Oryctolagus cuniculus: one gene and its partners. The protein of the gene in region 3 interacts with the protein of the main gene of each other region in a pairwise test. Links are inferred from orthologs where the notes say so. Each region holds a gene or a part of one and is shown on either strand. Other genes may lie near its edges.

Region 1 (4,603 bases), on a different chromosome or scaffold from region 3:
ACAAGAAAAACTCGGTCCTTTAATTCTCACCTCCAGCTCCTGGGGCCCAGCAGTTCTGCTTCCTGCTGTCCACTCGAGCCGGGGGCCTGGGCATCAACCTGGCCACTGCTGACACTGTCATCATCTTTGATTCTGACTGGAACCCCCATAATGACATCCAGGTGGGAACCCACGTCGTGGTGCCCCGTTTAGCAAGGAGCCGTGGGTTCACAGGGGGGGTTGCCGTGCTCTGGGGTCAGACACAGACCTCTCCTGGGAGGGAGAAGACCCTCCTGGCCAGCCTCCTTTCCTGAGCGTGTGAGCAGCCTCTCTTCTGCTCCCCCTGCCCGCCCCTGCCTTCTCCCACTGCAGGCCTTCAGCCGGGCTCATCGCATCGGCCAGGCCAACAAAGTGATGATTTACCGCTTTGTGACTCGGGCGTCGGTGGAAGAGCGAATCACGCAGGTGGCCAAGAGGAAGATGATGCTGACACACCTGGTGGTGCGGCCGGGGCTGGGCTCCAAGGCGGGCTCCATGTCCAAGCAGGAGCTTGACGACATCCTCAAATTTGGCACCGAGGAACTGTTCAAGGACGAAAATGAGGGTGAGACCCTCTCCCGCAGCTCCCTGAGAGCAGACCCCTGCCCTCCCGTGAGTCCCTGGCTCCTGCGGCCCCCTGGCGGGAAAACGGCTCTGCCGCCATTGCAGGGAGAAAAGCCTGCTTCCGGTGGTCCTGGGAGGAGAGCTGGCCTTTCTCCTGCCTGTAGGGTTAAAAAACCAAACCAAACCAAACCAAACCTGGAATCGGCTCCCAGGGAGAGAACCTCCTCCAGGCTTCCCCAGAAAGAGGCAGAAATGAGGGCTCTCCTCAGACCTTCCTGGAGCTGTGCCTGGGGTCCTGGCGGGAAACCGCAACCCTGTCCTGTTTCCCGACCCCAGGGGAGAACAAGGAGGAGGACAGCAGCGTGATCCACTATGACAATGAGGCCATAGCCAGGCTGCTGGACCGGAACCAGGATGCCACGGAGGACACGGACGTGCAGAACATGAACGAGTACCTCAGCTCCTTCAAGGTGGCCCAGTACGTCGTGCGGGAAGAGGACAAGGTGAGGGGCGTGGGGGCCGGACGCTGTCTGTCCCAAGCTGTCTCTGATGCCGTGTCTCTGGAGCTCCAAGCGGGAGCCTTCAAGCAGGACCCATTGCTCTTGTTTTTTTATTGCTCTCTTGACCTAGCACCCAGCAAAGCAGAGTGGATCTTAAACAACTTAAAAAAAGTTTTCTGAAAGGCAGTCTGCTGGTTTACTTCCTAAGTGGCCACGACAGTTGGGGCTGGGCTGAGCTTTACAAAGCCAGGAGCCTGGAACTCAGTCTGGGGCTCCCATGTGGGTGGCAGGGACCTAAGCAATTGAGCCTTTGTTTGCTGCTCCCGGGGTGCACCTTAGCAGGAGCCAGGTCTCAGCCCCAGGCACTCTGATGTGTGATGTGGGCGTCCCCAAGTGGCATCTTTTTTTTAAGATTTATTTGTTTGAAAGGCAGAGCTACAGAAAGGGAAAGAGCAAGCAACGGCCAGAACTGAGCCAATCCTGAGCCAGGAGCCAGGAGCTTCATACAGGTCTCCCACATGGGTGCAGCATACCCAGGCCATAGCAGAGAGCTGGATAGGAAGTGGAGCAGCCAGGACTCGCACCGGTGCCCATATGTGATGCCAGAACTGCAGGAGGTGGCTTTACCCACCATGCCACGGTGCTGCCCACCTCCAGTGGCATCTGTATCACTATGGCAAAGGCTTGCCCCTGAAACAACCTGTAGTCTCACACATGAGACTAGGCTTTAGAGAGTGACTTCGGCACAAAGTCCCGGTGAGCACAAAAGGGCACTTGCGACTCAGTGCAGGGCACGCAGAGGGTTAGGGAAGGGGCTTAGCAGTGACAGAGGCACAGGGTGCAGTGCAGCAAGGGCTGGCGCAGGAGATGTCCAGTGTCCAACAAAGGTCGGCAGAGCTGAGGGGGAGCCCGGGGGTGGGGTGCTGCCAGAGGCAGTGGTGCAAGGACCGGAGAAGGAGGCCCCAGCAGTCGCTGTGCTGCCCTTCAGATCGAGGAGATCGAGCGAGAGATCATCAAGCAGGAGGAGAACGTGGACCCCGACTACTGGGAGAAGCTGCTGAGGCACCACTACGAGCAGCAGCAGGAGGACCTGGCCCGCAACCTCGGCAAGGGCAAGCGGGTCCGCAAGCAGGTCAACTACAACGATGCTGCTCAGGAGGACCAGGGTGAGGACCCCGGATGCAGGAAGCGGGGAGGGAGGACGTGATCATGATGGGTAGGGGCCTGGAGGCTGGGGCTGCCTAGAGAGAGAGCGGCGTGGAGGCGGGGCCTTCCCCTGCTCGGGAGAACGCAGTCAGGAGGGGTCGGTAGGAACCATCAGAGGCCAGGTGGGCTTGCAGGCAACTTAGACGGTCTGGGGGCTGCAGAGGAATCCTGTGGACGCCCACAGGTCATTGCTTCGAGTAGGTTCAGCAGGACTCGGGGCAGTACAAGAGATGCCCAGTGAGTGGACAAGGCCGAGGATATGTGGCCGTGAGGTCAGGCTGCAGGCAGTGACCTAGCACCCCCAAGGGGGCCGAGGCCAGAGAGGAGGGGACCCCAGCGTGGCCTACCCAGGAAGCCGTCACTGACCGCGGAGCCCTTGTTTCCCTCACAGATAACCAGTCGGAGTACTCGGTGGGATCAGAGGAGGAGGACGAAGACTTTGACGAGCGTCCTGAAGGTGGCTGTTTTCCTGACTTTCTCCCTGTGCTCTTCCCTCATGGTTTTTTGGTAGAAAAACTAAAGATTGCAGATGGGCAGGAAGAGAGAAGTGTCTGTAACCTCGCCATTGTGATGGTCTGCGGGCTTAGGAAGGTTCCATCATTTTACTTCCCTGCCGTGTCCAATAGTTGTTGTTAATGTTTTAGTAAGACTTGATTCTTTTAGACTCTCTGGGTGAGTAGTTCTGAAAAGGCTCGGAGGAAAATCAGGAGTACCTCAGACATAACCCAGGGCGCCCCTGAGTTCCGTGTGTTGCGGGAGTGGGTGCTGACGCTGGTGGATGCGCTCAATAACCCGTGTCACCTCGGCCCTCAGGGCGCCGCCAGTCAAAGAGGCAGCTCCGGAATGAAAAGGACAAGCCACTGCCTCCACTGCTGGCTCGAGTTGGGGGCAACATTGAGGTGAGAGCTGGGCCCAGGCCCGTCAGGGGCTGTGGGCACTGAAGGCTGGGGCCCAAGTCAAGACCTGCCTCCTTGCCCTCGCCCTCAGGTGTTGGGGTTCAACACGCGCCAGCGGAAGGCCTTCCTCAATGCTGTGATGCGCTGGGGGATGCCGCCGCAGGATGCCTTCACCACGCAGTGGCTGGTGCGGGACCTGAGGGGCAAGACGGAGAAGGAGTTCAAGTGAGTGCGGGGATGTGGCGCTGAGTGGGACAGAAGGGGAAGCCTTGGGCGTTGCTGTCTTCCTCTTGGCCACCACGTGATGTGACCTTACTCAACTGATCCCACCCTCCCTGCTGTGTGACATGTCCTGGCTCAGTTTCCTGGGGGGTGAGCTCAGCCTCCCCCACCTCCCCTCAGCTGAGCCTAGAGGAGACAGGCCAGGCACCTGCCCCCTGGAGAGGCGTTTAAGTAAGGAGCCTCGCCTGGCTGCCCTGGCCTCACATTTACTTGGCCTCAGCCACGTGGCAGGAGGAGCTGGTGGAACGGATGAAGAGCTGACTGATGGGGCCCAGGAACAAAGCACCAAGGCCTAAGAGTTGTGGGGGAGGGCGGAAGGGCATAACGGAGAGTTAGGATTTGGGGGGCTGAGAGTGGCAAGGGGGAGAGGCCCAGGGGAGGAACCTGGGGGCACCTGAGTTCAGTAATTCCTGTGCCTCCCTCACTGCCCTGTACCCCTTCTGAGGCTCCCTAACCCCCTCCCACCCCCATGCTCCTAGGGCCTATGTGTCTCTGTTCATGCGCCATCTGTGTGAGCCTGGGGCAGACGGCTCAGAGACCTTCGCTGATGGAGTCCCCCGGGAGGGACTGAGTCGCCAGCAGGTGCTGACCCGCATCGGAGTCATGTCTCTCGTGAAGAAGAAGGTATCAGTCTTCCCGTCGCCCAAAGCGTCAGCTGGCCCCTTGGCCCTGTCTTTCCTCTGTCTTCCATTCTTGGGTTGTGCAGTCACACTAGGGCAAGACACGGGCTAGGAGCTTCCCGAGTGTCCGGTGCCTCGAGCTGACCTCTGGCCCATGACGCCCACCCACCAGGTGCAGGAGTTTGAGCACATCAACGGGCGCTGGTCAATGCCAGAGCTGATGCCTGATCCCAGCGCCGACTCCAAGCGCTCCTCCCGAGCCTCCTCTCCGACCAAAACGTCTCCTACCACTCCCGAGGCTTCTGCCACCAACAGTCCCTGCACCTCCAAGCCTGGTAACCAGGGGCAGGGAGGGCGGGGCAGACAGAGGTGGGGTCAGGAGTCTGGGTCGGGGAACGGCTGCCTTGCTCACTCCGCCTTCCCCTCTGCAGCTACTCCAGCTCCAAGCGAGAAAGGAGAAGGCATAAGGACGCCTCTTGAGAAAGATGAAGCTGGAAGCCAAGAGGAGAAGCCAGAG
Region 2 (4,603 bases), on a different chromosome or scaffold from region 3:
ACTATCCTCAGCATTGTTTTCTATATTGCTAGTTTCATCAAACCACCTCAGTTTTTTAATTGTCTTTGGGATTTCTGTACCTTTCCCTTTTTGTTTTGTTAATTCAATACTATCTCTGATAGCTGATGCTTTTTGATTTCCAAATGTAAAGCCCTGATTTATAATAATTGTCTTAAGATAATCATGTTCATATTTAGATTCTTTCTTTAAAATACTCTTAAGAAACCTCACACCGTTTCTCTCATGAATGTTATATTTCATTTTCTTGTGTTGGCCAACTAAATCATAATTAGAAATTATATTAGACAATGATGTTAATGTTTCAGATGCTCTTTGTTTTTTATCTTTTAAACTAGAAAATAAAGGCAACTCTTCCTTATTACAGTTAAAATATTTTATCTTTTCATCTTTAACATCTTTCAATTCATCTAACTTATCAGAACACTGCACTGGGTTTATTTCTTTTACGTGTATACCACTCTTTGCTAAAGGCCTAGCTGATTGTGTATTAGATGGCAAAACTAAAGGTGTTGTAGCTGATAGAAATGAAGTAGGAACTGAAGTAGTTCTATTTGTTTGAGTTTCTTCAGAATGCTTCTGTTGGTCTGAAAATGTAGCCACTTCCTGGGCTACATAATCTGGAGCAGTCCAGGCTTTACTGAATCTAAATGTTGGGCTCTCGGTAACTAATGGCTTCTCATTTTTGAATGCTTCAGAAGTGCAGTCAGTTGTGCTCCTAGTGCTTGTTTCAGAGGAGTTTCCTCTTTTTTTATCCGCTTCAAATACAGGTGGACTATACACAAAGGCCACTGAATTATTTGCAGTACTTGTGGCTCTTTCCATGGTTGTACTGAAAGTAGATGGGCTTTGTTTTTTACTAATTAAGTGTTCCCAGGAAGGTACATTAGATTTACTTAAAATATCTGAGAAAGGTGCAGCAGCATGAGTAGTTGGAGCATCTAAATTTGTTAGCCAATTATTTATATGTTGAGTCTTGGAGAATGACAGTTTATCTTCAACAAAGCAACTTGGATTAGCTGATTGTAGATTTGCAGATCCAAGGGAAAGAGAATTTGGCTGGATTGATGTAGAAGATTCCTTATTAAGTGTTAAATATATATCTTCACGTTCTCCAACCTCTAGACTGTCTATACTTGAGAGGGTTTCAGAGTTGGTTATTCGATTAACTTCATCACAAAATTTCTGGGAAAAAAAAAAGGAACACTGTTTTTAAATCCATCCAATTTTCCTTGGCATGCAAAATAGAGTAATATGATTACATAGAATGTGGATAAATAAATAATTTATATCCTTGCAACAGTCTCCAGTGCAAAAAGTAGGAGGGTAACAAAAAGTTATAGTAAAATTTGTTTGCCTTAACTCCTAAAGGAACAATATCTGATTATGCTATTCACAGTTACAGCTTAGAAAATAATTTTGTTATTAATTATCAATAATTTTGCTACCCCACTTAGAGTAGGGAGTTTCTTGAAGGTTTCATAAAAGCAAGAAAAATTCTGGATTTTTTCCTGAAATAGCCACTGCTCTTAAATGTGGCTCCTAAAAGCTCTGTGATTCTAAAATGAGCTTTCTGTTTTTAAGAGATAGATCCTTTTTATAAAAGTTAATCTTGGCTGGCGCCACGGCTCAATAGGCTAATCCTCCACCTGTGGCGCCGGCACACCAGGTTCTAGTCCCGGTCGGGGTGCCCGATTCTGTCCTGCTTGCTCCTCTTCCTGTCCAGCTCTCTGCTGTGGCCCAGGAGTGCAGTGGAGGATGGCCCAAGTGCTTGGGCCCTGCACCCGCATGGGAGACCAGGAGAAGCACCTGACTCCTGGCTTCGGATCAGCGCGGCCATTGTGGGGTGAACCAATGGAAAAAGGAAGACCTTCCTCTCTGTCTCTCTCTCACTGTCCACTCTGCCTGTCAAAAAATAAAAAAAAAATTTAAAAAAGTTAATCTTGTAGTATATAGTAAGGTTTTGAACTCTGATTCTATGTTAGAATCATGTAAGAAAACTTGTAAAATACCTATTTATGAGTCCTCATGGCTTATCATTTGGATAGGGTCTATGTATTGGCATTTTTATTATTTTTAAATTCTCTGCATAATTCTAATACAGATTTATGGTTAAGAAATATCGAGATTAATGACTCCTTTTTGAAGATTTAGCATAGTAATAACTTTTTTAAGTTCTATAGACAATTTTACCAGTATCTCACTGAAATTTCCATGAAATTTATTAATTTTAAATACAATTTCATGATCACTTCAAAGTATGGTAAATGTTTTAAAGTAGTTCTCATTTCTCACTCATATCTAAAATGGATTAATCTATACATATTGGATATATGTAGTCCATATAATGCATATACAGAAATAAATTATAAGAAGATATTAAATTTAAATCTAGGCCAAAGTTAAATGAACTCAAAGAAAGAAAATTAGTGCCCCTTATAATGTGCCATAGAGGGTGACATTGTGGCGTAGCGAGTAAAGGTACTGCCTACAATGTTGGCATCCCATATTCAGGTCAGTTCATGTCCTGGCTGTTCCACTTTTGATCCAAATCCCTGTTAGTGGTCTGAGGAAAACAGTGGAAGATGTTTCATTTGGGACCCTACTACCCATGTGGGAGACCCGGGTGAAGCTCCTGGCTCCTGGCTTTGGCAGGGCTCAGCCTTGGCAGTTGGGCCAGCTTAGGCATGAATCAGCAAATGGAAGATCTCTTGCTCTTTCTCTCTCTGTAACTCTGACTTTAAATAAATAAATAAATCTTTAAAAGAAATACTAATATAGATGTCATAAATTTTAGAAAATTTAAACATTCTGGTATTAGAAACATATTCTTTTTCTAGTCCAGAAAGTAAACCAAGAAATCAAAACATTCTAGAATAAAAATTTTTGTTTATATGATAAATGTATATTAATATATTACTGTGAAACTTTGAAAATGAGTCATGAGAGCATTATATTTATAGCATTTATCCTCTATTCATCACAGCCTTCAGTACTTTTCCTAAAGGGATGGTCACTCAACCCAGTTAAGAGAACAAAACAAAGCAGTTACTTCAATGTCTATTCTTATTATTTTATTGATGATGATAAGGAAAGAAACTTGGCCTAGAGGGCTTTCTTTGAGACTAAATCTATAAGACAAACAGATCTGGGTTAGAAGCTTCTTCTAGAATGACTATATTTCAAGAATTTTCTAATCATTAACCATTGAAAAATGCTCACCTTCATTTATACATTATATATTTCATCTTATTTTTGCTTCCCTGTGTGTAGTATATTATTCTTTCCTTTGGCTTAATTAGATTTTGATTTGCCTTTGTGTAGTGTGTGTGTGTGTGTGTGTGTGTGTATGTGTGTATGTGTACAATGATACTTACTGTTGGAGTTGGTTGAATTTCTTGGATTTGGATTTATAAGCATCAAATTTGAAACATTTTCAGTCATGGTTTCTTCAAATATTTTCTCTCTTTGTGTGATTTTAATTAAATGTGTTAAATATTTAATATTGTCTTATAGGTCACTGACACTCAAGTTTTTTCCAGTATTTTCTTTTCCACTGTTTCAGTTTGGATAATTTCTGTTGTTATGTGTTCAAATCCACTGTTCTTTTATTCTGAAATGACTTCATCGTTTAGTCTATCCAGTAAACTTTTCATTTCAGATATTAAGATTTTAGTTCCAGAATGTCTATTTGGTTATTTTAAAAATATCTTTCTTCATTATGTTCAAATCTATTTTAATTCCTTGAAAATATTGTCAAAATGATTTTAAATCCCTTGGCTATTATTTCCATCATTGCTGCCATTTTGTGTCGGATTTTGTTGCAAATTTTCTCCGTGTTATGGTTCATATTTTCTGGTCCATCATATGTCTGATAACCTTTGATTCAGTGTTGACATTGTGAGCGTTATATTGCTGTATGTTTAGATTTCAGTCTTTTTTTTTTTTTTTTTTTTTTTTTTTTTGACAGGCAGAGTGGACAGTGAGAGAGAGACAGAGAGAGAAAGGTCTTCCTTTGCCGCTGGTTCACCCTCCAATGGCCGCCGCTGCAGCCGGCGCACCGCGCTGATCCTGGCAGGAGCCAGGAGCCAGGTGCTTTTCCTGGTCTCCCATGGGGTGCAGGGCCCAAGCACCTGGGCCATCCTCCACTGCACTCCCTGGCCATAGCAGAGAGCTGGCCTGGAAGAGGGGCAACCGGGACAGAATCCGGCGCCCCAACCGGGACTAGAACCCGGTGTGCCGGCGCCGCAAGGTGGAGGATTAGCCTATTGAGCCACGGCGCCGGCTAGATTTCAGTCTTAAGAGAATGTTTTTTATTGACAGGCAGCTAGGTTACTTGTGGATTTTTTTTTTTTTTTGAGTGTTGTCTAAAGATTATATCTCACAGAAAGCCTAGGAACTCAGAAGGGCTATTAATTGTTTCAGTTTTTCAAACTTATCAACGGTACTGCTTATGGTTGAATGTCTAACAACAGATGTTTCATATATTATATTCAGATCTAAAGTTGGTTGTGGCAGGAAGGCATATCATCAAAGCCAGCAGAAACCTTGTTTGCTTTCTTTACCTTGCCACCATTGATTTATT
Region 3 (5,072 bases):
CGTGTTTGGGAGGTGGTAGATGATAGCTCAGGAGCTTGAGCTCCGGAAACCTATGTGAGAGACATGGATGTGGTTTCTGGCTCCAGGCTTGTTGCAGTCATTTGGGGAGTGAACCAGCAGATGGTAGGTACATCTCTGTCTCTTTCACACTGCCTTTAAAATATATAAATGAATAAATATTTAAAAATTCAGCAGTAAGCTAAGCTTATAAAAGATTAATTTAACTTGATGTGAAGATGAACACTTGATCAATATCCTACTATAGTATACTAATTCTAGTTTGTGACTTAATTAATGAATTAAAATTAATTCTAGTTCTAGTTGACTTTTCTAAAATGCCAAACACAACTTTTTGCTTTGTTTTACTAATTTTTTAGCTTCTAAAATTATTAGTGATTCTTTAAAGCAGCTTTCTCTCCAGAGGACAGCTTGAAAGGTATAAAGCAGGAGCTGGCATTGTGGTGTAGCAGGTACGGCTGCCATCTGCAATGCCTGCAATCCACAGGGGCATGGGTGCCGGTTCAAGTCCTGGCTGCTCAATTTCTGATTCTGCCCCTGGCTAATGGCCTGGGAAAAGCAGTGGAGGATGGTCCAAGTGCTTTGGCCCCTGCTAGACATGTGGGAGACTGCAAGAAGCTCCTGGCCTCGGCCCGGCTAGGTGCTGGCTGTTGTGGTCTTCTGTGGGGATGAACGAGAAGATGGAAGACCTCTCCACCTCTCTCCCCCTCTCTCTCTCCCCCTCTCTTTAACTCTGCCTTTTAAGTAAATAAATAAGTTAAAAACAACAGTCTAAAGCATCAAGGAGGACAGACCTGTCAGGTCTTAGCTCCATCTGATCATTTGGTTCTGCCATATGCTGTTACTGCCCTGGCTTCCCGACAGGTATTCAATGTTAAGGACTACAATACATGGAATCATTTTACCTTTATTACTCACTACAATTTCCATCTACTTCTAGTTTAGAGGTCTGTCATATTGGGTTCTGCCAAATGTGCAAGTACTAAAAGTTTTATTTAAAGCCTGAAGATCTTGTAATTAGAGACTGGCAGTAATTCTGGTAGCAAAGAGTACACACCCTCTTACTGTTTCCATGCCCAAAAAAGGGACAACAGCTGGCTCACATATTAAAATGGATGAGCTGATAATGATTTTTACTCTTTGAAGGCAACATTCTATGTTTTTCCACACTCTTGTGTATTCAACAGCAGAAAGAAGCACTTTAAATGTTTATTTTTAATATTCATAAAAATCATCCTGTAATATTAAAGATTCAGCATTTAAATTTCTGAATTACCTCAGTGTTCCTCTGAGTTCTCCATAGTTTACAATGATTGCTGCACCTTCTTTATAGCCTTGATTGAAGCCCTGTTGAAGAGCAACTGCTTTGCCAGCATCGATTCCTTCTCTATAGCCTTCCTAAAAATAAGCAATGAACAACTACAGTTGTAACTAATACCAAGTGAACCATATGTAGGCTTTTCTAGAAAGGCACAGACCCAATTTAGAAAACTGATGAAACTGGCTTTTACTGCATTCTTGAAAATAATATGGTATAGCCCCACAAGCAATGCAGGTTATGTTCCTCATAAAAATTTATTACCGGTTTATTGTTCCTTATCCCACTTTTGAAGTGTGTTCTCACCCAGTTTTTAACACCTCTGTTTTAGCAATGTCTTCACAGAAAGGAAACATGGAAACTTACATGTCTGGCCCTCTGGCAACTGAGTGGAAAGGTGTGAGTGGGTGAGGAGACAGAACAAAGTAAGGAAAGGCAAAACTGTTTTAGAAGGAAAGTGAGAAGCCTGGTTTTAGAAATTTTGCTTGATCCTGAAATCCAAGTAAATTCTCTGTGGACAGAAACTTTGTTCTGCATGTCCCAAGTATGTCACAGTACTCAAAAGATGCTTATTATTGGGGCCAGCACTGTGGAAAAGGGGGTAAAGTGGCTGCCTGCAGTGCTGGCATTCCATACAGGCTCTGGTTTGAGTCCTCGCTGCTCCACTTCCGATCCAGCTCTCTGCTATGGCCTGGGAAAGCAGTAGAAGATGGCCCAAGACCTTGGGACCCTGCACTGGGAGGAAGCTCCTGGCTCCTGGCTTCAGATTGGCCCAGCTCCAGCTGATGGGGCTTTTTGGGGAGTGATCCAGCAGATGGGAGACCTCTCTCTCTCTGCTCTGTAACTGTAACTTTGTCTTTCAAGTAAATAAATAAATTCTGAGAGAGAGAGAGAAAGAGAGAGATGTGGCAGTATTGACTGGTCCAGCCTTAGCGTCACATAAAACTTTTTGTAACTGACAACGTGGTTGCTGAACTAAGCAAATATTGTTTTGCTGAAACATTAATTTGGGGCAGATCCCCAATACAGCTTTAGGAGCAATTTAATGGCTGGCAAATATAGTAAGTGGAAGCAACCCCCACCATTTAGTCTTCACCCAGTACTAAGCTCTGAGTACTCCATCTGGAAATTACGCTTAGACTCAACAAATAAAATTAGACATGAATAATTCACATCCAACAAATAAGAAGAAAATTGGTTTTAATATTCCCTTACTTGGTCATCAGTATTCCATCTTAGCTTTCTCCTACTGCCTTTTTTTTTTTTTTTAATATTTACTTGTTTGTTTGAAACGCAAAATTACAGAGATGCAGGGGCAGAGAGAGATCTTCCATCAGCTGGTTCATTCCCAAATGGCTGCAACTGCTGGAGCTGAGCTGATCCGAAGCCAGGAGCTTTTTCTGGGTCTCCCACGTGGGTGCAGGGGCCCAAGGACCTGGGACATCTTCTACTGCTTTCCCAGGCCACGGCAGAGAGCTGCTCAGAAGTGGAGCAGCCGGGACTCGAATCAACTCCCATATGGGATTCGGGCACTGCAGGAGGTGGCTTTACCCGCTATGCCACAGCCCCGACCCCTCTCCTACTGCCTTTAACATTGTAAAGTTCACTTTTTTCGTGTATCTTGGTTAAAACACTCCTAACTCTGGGCTCCCCACCCACTCAAGCTGCCCGTGGAAGCCTGAATGCGCGTCCTTTGACAGCCATAATCAGCAGTCAAGTAATCACTGTATTGGTATGTCTCTCCCCCACCCACTTCCCTGTGATCATCATCAGACAGCAATCGCTTCCAAGTGTGGACAACATGTGTTTTGGTGGGCGTCCCGCTTCTCCAACGCCCTCCCGCAAGCGCTCAAACAACGCGTCTCTGGGGTTCACCCGCTTCCAAGCAACCCACTGGGAAATCCTGGCGGGACGCGGGGCGCACCGCGTGGCAAAGGGTAAGGACGGCGGCGCTAGCCAGACTGGGACCACTGGGACCACGGTGGGCCCGGCTTCTTCACAAACTCGGGGCTCCGCTCCACCACAGCCCGGCACCCCCCGGGGTCCCCGCACCCTTCCCACCCCCCTCCCCCGGCTTTACTTTCACTCGTTTCTGCATGTGACTCCGCCATTCCCGCTGTACCAGGAGCGACTCGTCAGCTTCCTCATCAAACACGTCCCCCTCCTCGGCCGGGCTCTGGACCGAGGGGGTAGCCCGAACCCACGACATCACCGAGATGGCTACGGAGCCGCAGGCAACAGGAAACACCCGCGACTCCTTCCGGTGTGAGGGGCGGGACGAAGACTGCGCTCCTGGCGCTCAGGGCGGGTGCGCGTGCGCCGAGGCGATCCGTCGTGGTTGCGGGCTGTCCAGCCTGACGTCCAGAGCTTTTGGACTCGCGGACTTTGGGACTAAGTCAGTTAACACAGTGTGTCCGTGTGCACCTTGATTCCTTCCTCGGCTGGGGCGTGACCTTGATCAGACCCCGCATTCCTGTCGTAGACTGCAGTGTTCTGGGTGTGGGAGAGGCTCCTTTTGTAAAATCACTCAAGGCGGTTGAGCCAGTACTGCCCAAAGACTGTCTCAGAATCTCAGCGTGTTCAGGGGACGTGACAACCTGACACGGATTGATTGTTAGGAGCTTGGAGCAAAGAGCAAAAGAGTCAGAGAGTGAACTACTGCGGCCCATTTGAGATCAATAGGAAATAGAAAGGTTGCCTTTGCCATCGATACATCTTCCTTGATTCTCAGTATCCTTCGCTGCCTTCCACTCTTGCTCACGTGCGCTAAATGCAAACTGTGATCTTGGCGAGGGCGGGAACTTGTCTGCCCCAGCACCAGCAGGTTCTGACACTGCAGGTGAAAGCACCCCAGTGGCATCCCGTTTTGCCTTTGTTTGTGTGGGTAAATGAGTCCTGTGACAGTCGTGGTTTGTTTGTCTTACCTTTTCTTGAATACCTGTGTGTCTGGATACATTAGTGAATAAAACAGATAAAAGTTCCTAGCCCTTTGGATTTTATTCCTGTAGAATTTGCAGAGCACACACAGCAAACAAATATGAGTAACTTAGGTAGTTTGAAGATTATAAATAATAAATGTTATGAAACAAATTTAAAACAAGTAAAGTAAAGGGAATCCTGAGTGTGTGTGTGTGTGGGGGGGCGAGTGGATGGTGCAGGCTACAGATTTAAATTTTAGAATTTTGCATCTCACAAATATATAACCTGTAAAAGGCATATATTAAGTAAACTCTTAAAAATGTATTTGTTAATTAGAAACAAAATGGCAATAAAGGAATCAATAAAAACAATTGAATAACGTTGACTAGCTGAGCGCATTTAGCCTAGTGCGTGAGATGCTAGCCTCCTGCATTGGAGTGCCTTCATTAGAAGCCAGCCTCTCACTTTGTTTGGAGTGCCTGAGTTTGATGTGCAGCTCTGACTCCTGACTCCAGCTTCCTGCTAATGCAGACCCTGGGAAGCAGTGGTGATAGCGCAAGTGGGTTCCTGCTGCTCACATGGGAGACTTTGATTGCCTTCCCAGCTCCCAACTTTGTCCAGCTCCAGCCTAGATTATCACTGGTATTTTGGGAAGTGAAGCAGTGCCTAGGAGCTCCCCCTCTTTGTCTATCTCTCAAATAAAATTAAAAAATAGAAAATCTTTTTTTGAAAAGATTTATTTATTTGAAAGTCAGAGTTACACAGAGGGAGGAGAGGCAGAGAGAGAGAGAGAGAGAGAGAGAGAGAGAGAGAGAGA

Evidence for each region.
Region 1: the proteins of YAE1 (region 3) and CHD3 interact in a two-hybrid assay, tested with the Homo sapiens proteins (2 studies listed by BioGRID and IntAct). The link is inferred for Oryctolagus cuniculus from reciprocal best matches to the Homo sapiens genes YAE1 and CHD3.
Region 2: the proteins of YAE1 (region 3) and CEP126 interact in a two-hybrid assay, tested with the Homo sapiens proteins (2 studies listed by BioGRID and IntAct). The link is inferred for Oryctolagus cuniculus from reciprocal best matches to the Homo sapiens genes YAE1 and CEP126.

What each region holds. Positions count from the first base shown.
Region 1 is NC_091448.1:52,445,698-52,450,300, forward strand, and holds part of CHD3 (chromodomain-helicase-DNA-binding protein 3), read left to right. Parts: intron 1-36; coding exon 37-161; intron 162-351; coding exon 352-583; intron 584-918; coding exon 919-1,085; intron 1,086-2,070; coding exon 2,071-2,248; intron 2,249-2,679; coding exon 2,680-2,745; intron 2,746-3,101; coding exon 3,102-3,187; intron 3,188-3,275; coding exon 3,276-3,409; intron 3,410-3,537; exon of another isoform or gene 3,538-3,674; intron 3,675-3,945; coding exon 3,946-4,090; intron 4,091-4,258; coding exon 4,259-4,421; intron 4,422-4,517; coding exon 4,518-4,603.
Region 2 is NC_091432.1:93,387,122-93,391,724, reverse strand, and holds part of CEP126 (centrosomal protein of 126 kDa), read right to left. Parts: intron 1,204-4,603; coding exon 1-1,203. UniProt on the Homo sapiens protein: Participates in cytokinesis. Necessary for microtubules and mitotic spindle organization. Involved in primary cilium formation.
Region 3 is NC_091447.1:29,676,111-29,681,182, reverse strand, and holds the start of YAE1 (protein YAE1 homolog), read right to left. Parts: upstream 3,614-5,072; 5' UTR 3,546-3,613; coding exon 3,417-3,545; intron 1,417-3,416; coding exon 1,295-1,416; intron 1-1,294. UniProt on the Homo sapiens protein: The complex LTO1:YAE1 functions as a target specific adapter that probably recruits apo-ABCE1 to the cytosolic iron-sulfur protein assembly (CIA) complex machinery. May be required for biogenesis of the large ribosomal subunit and initiation of translation.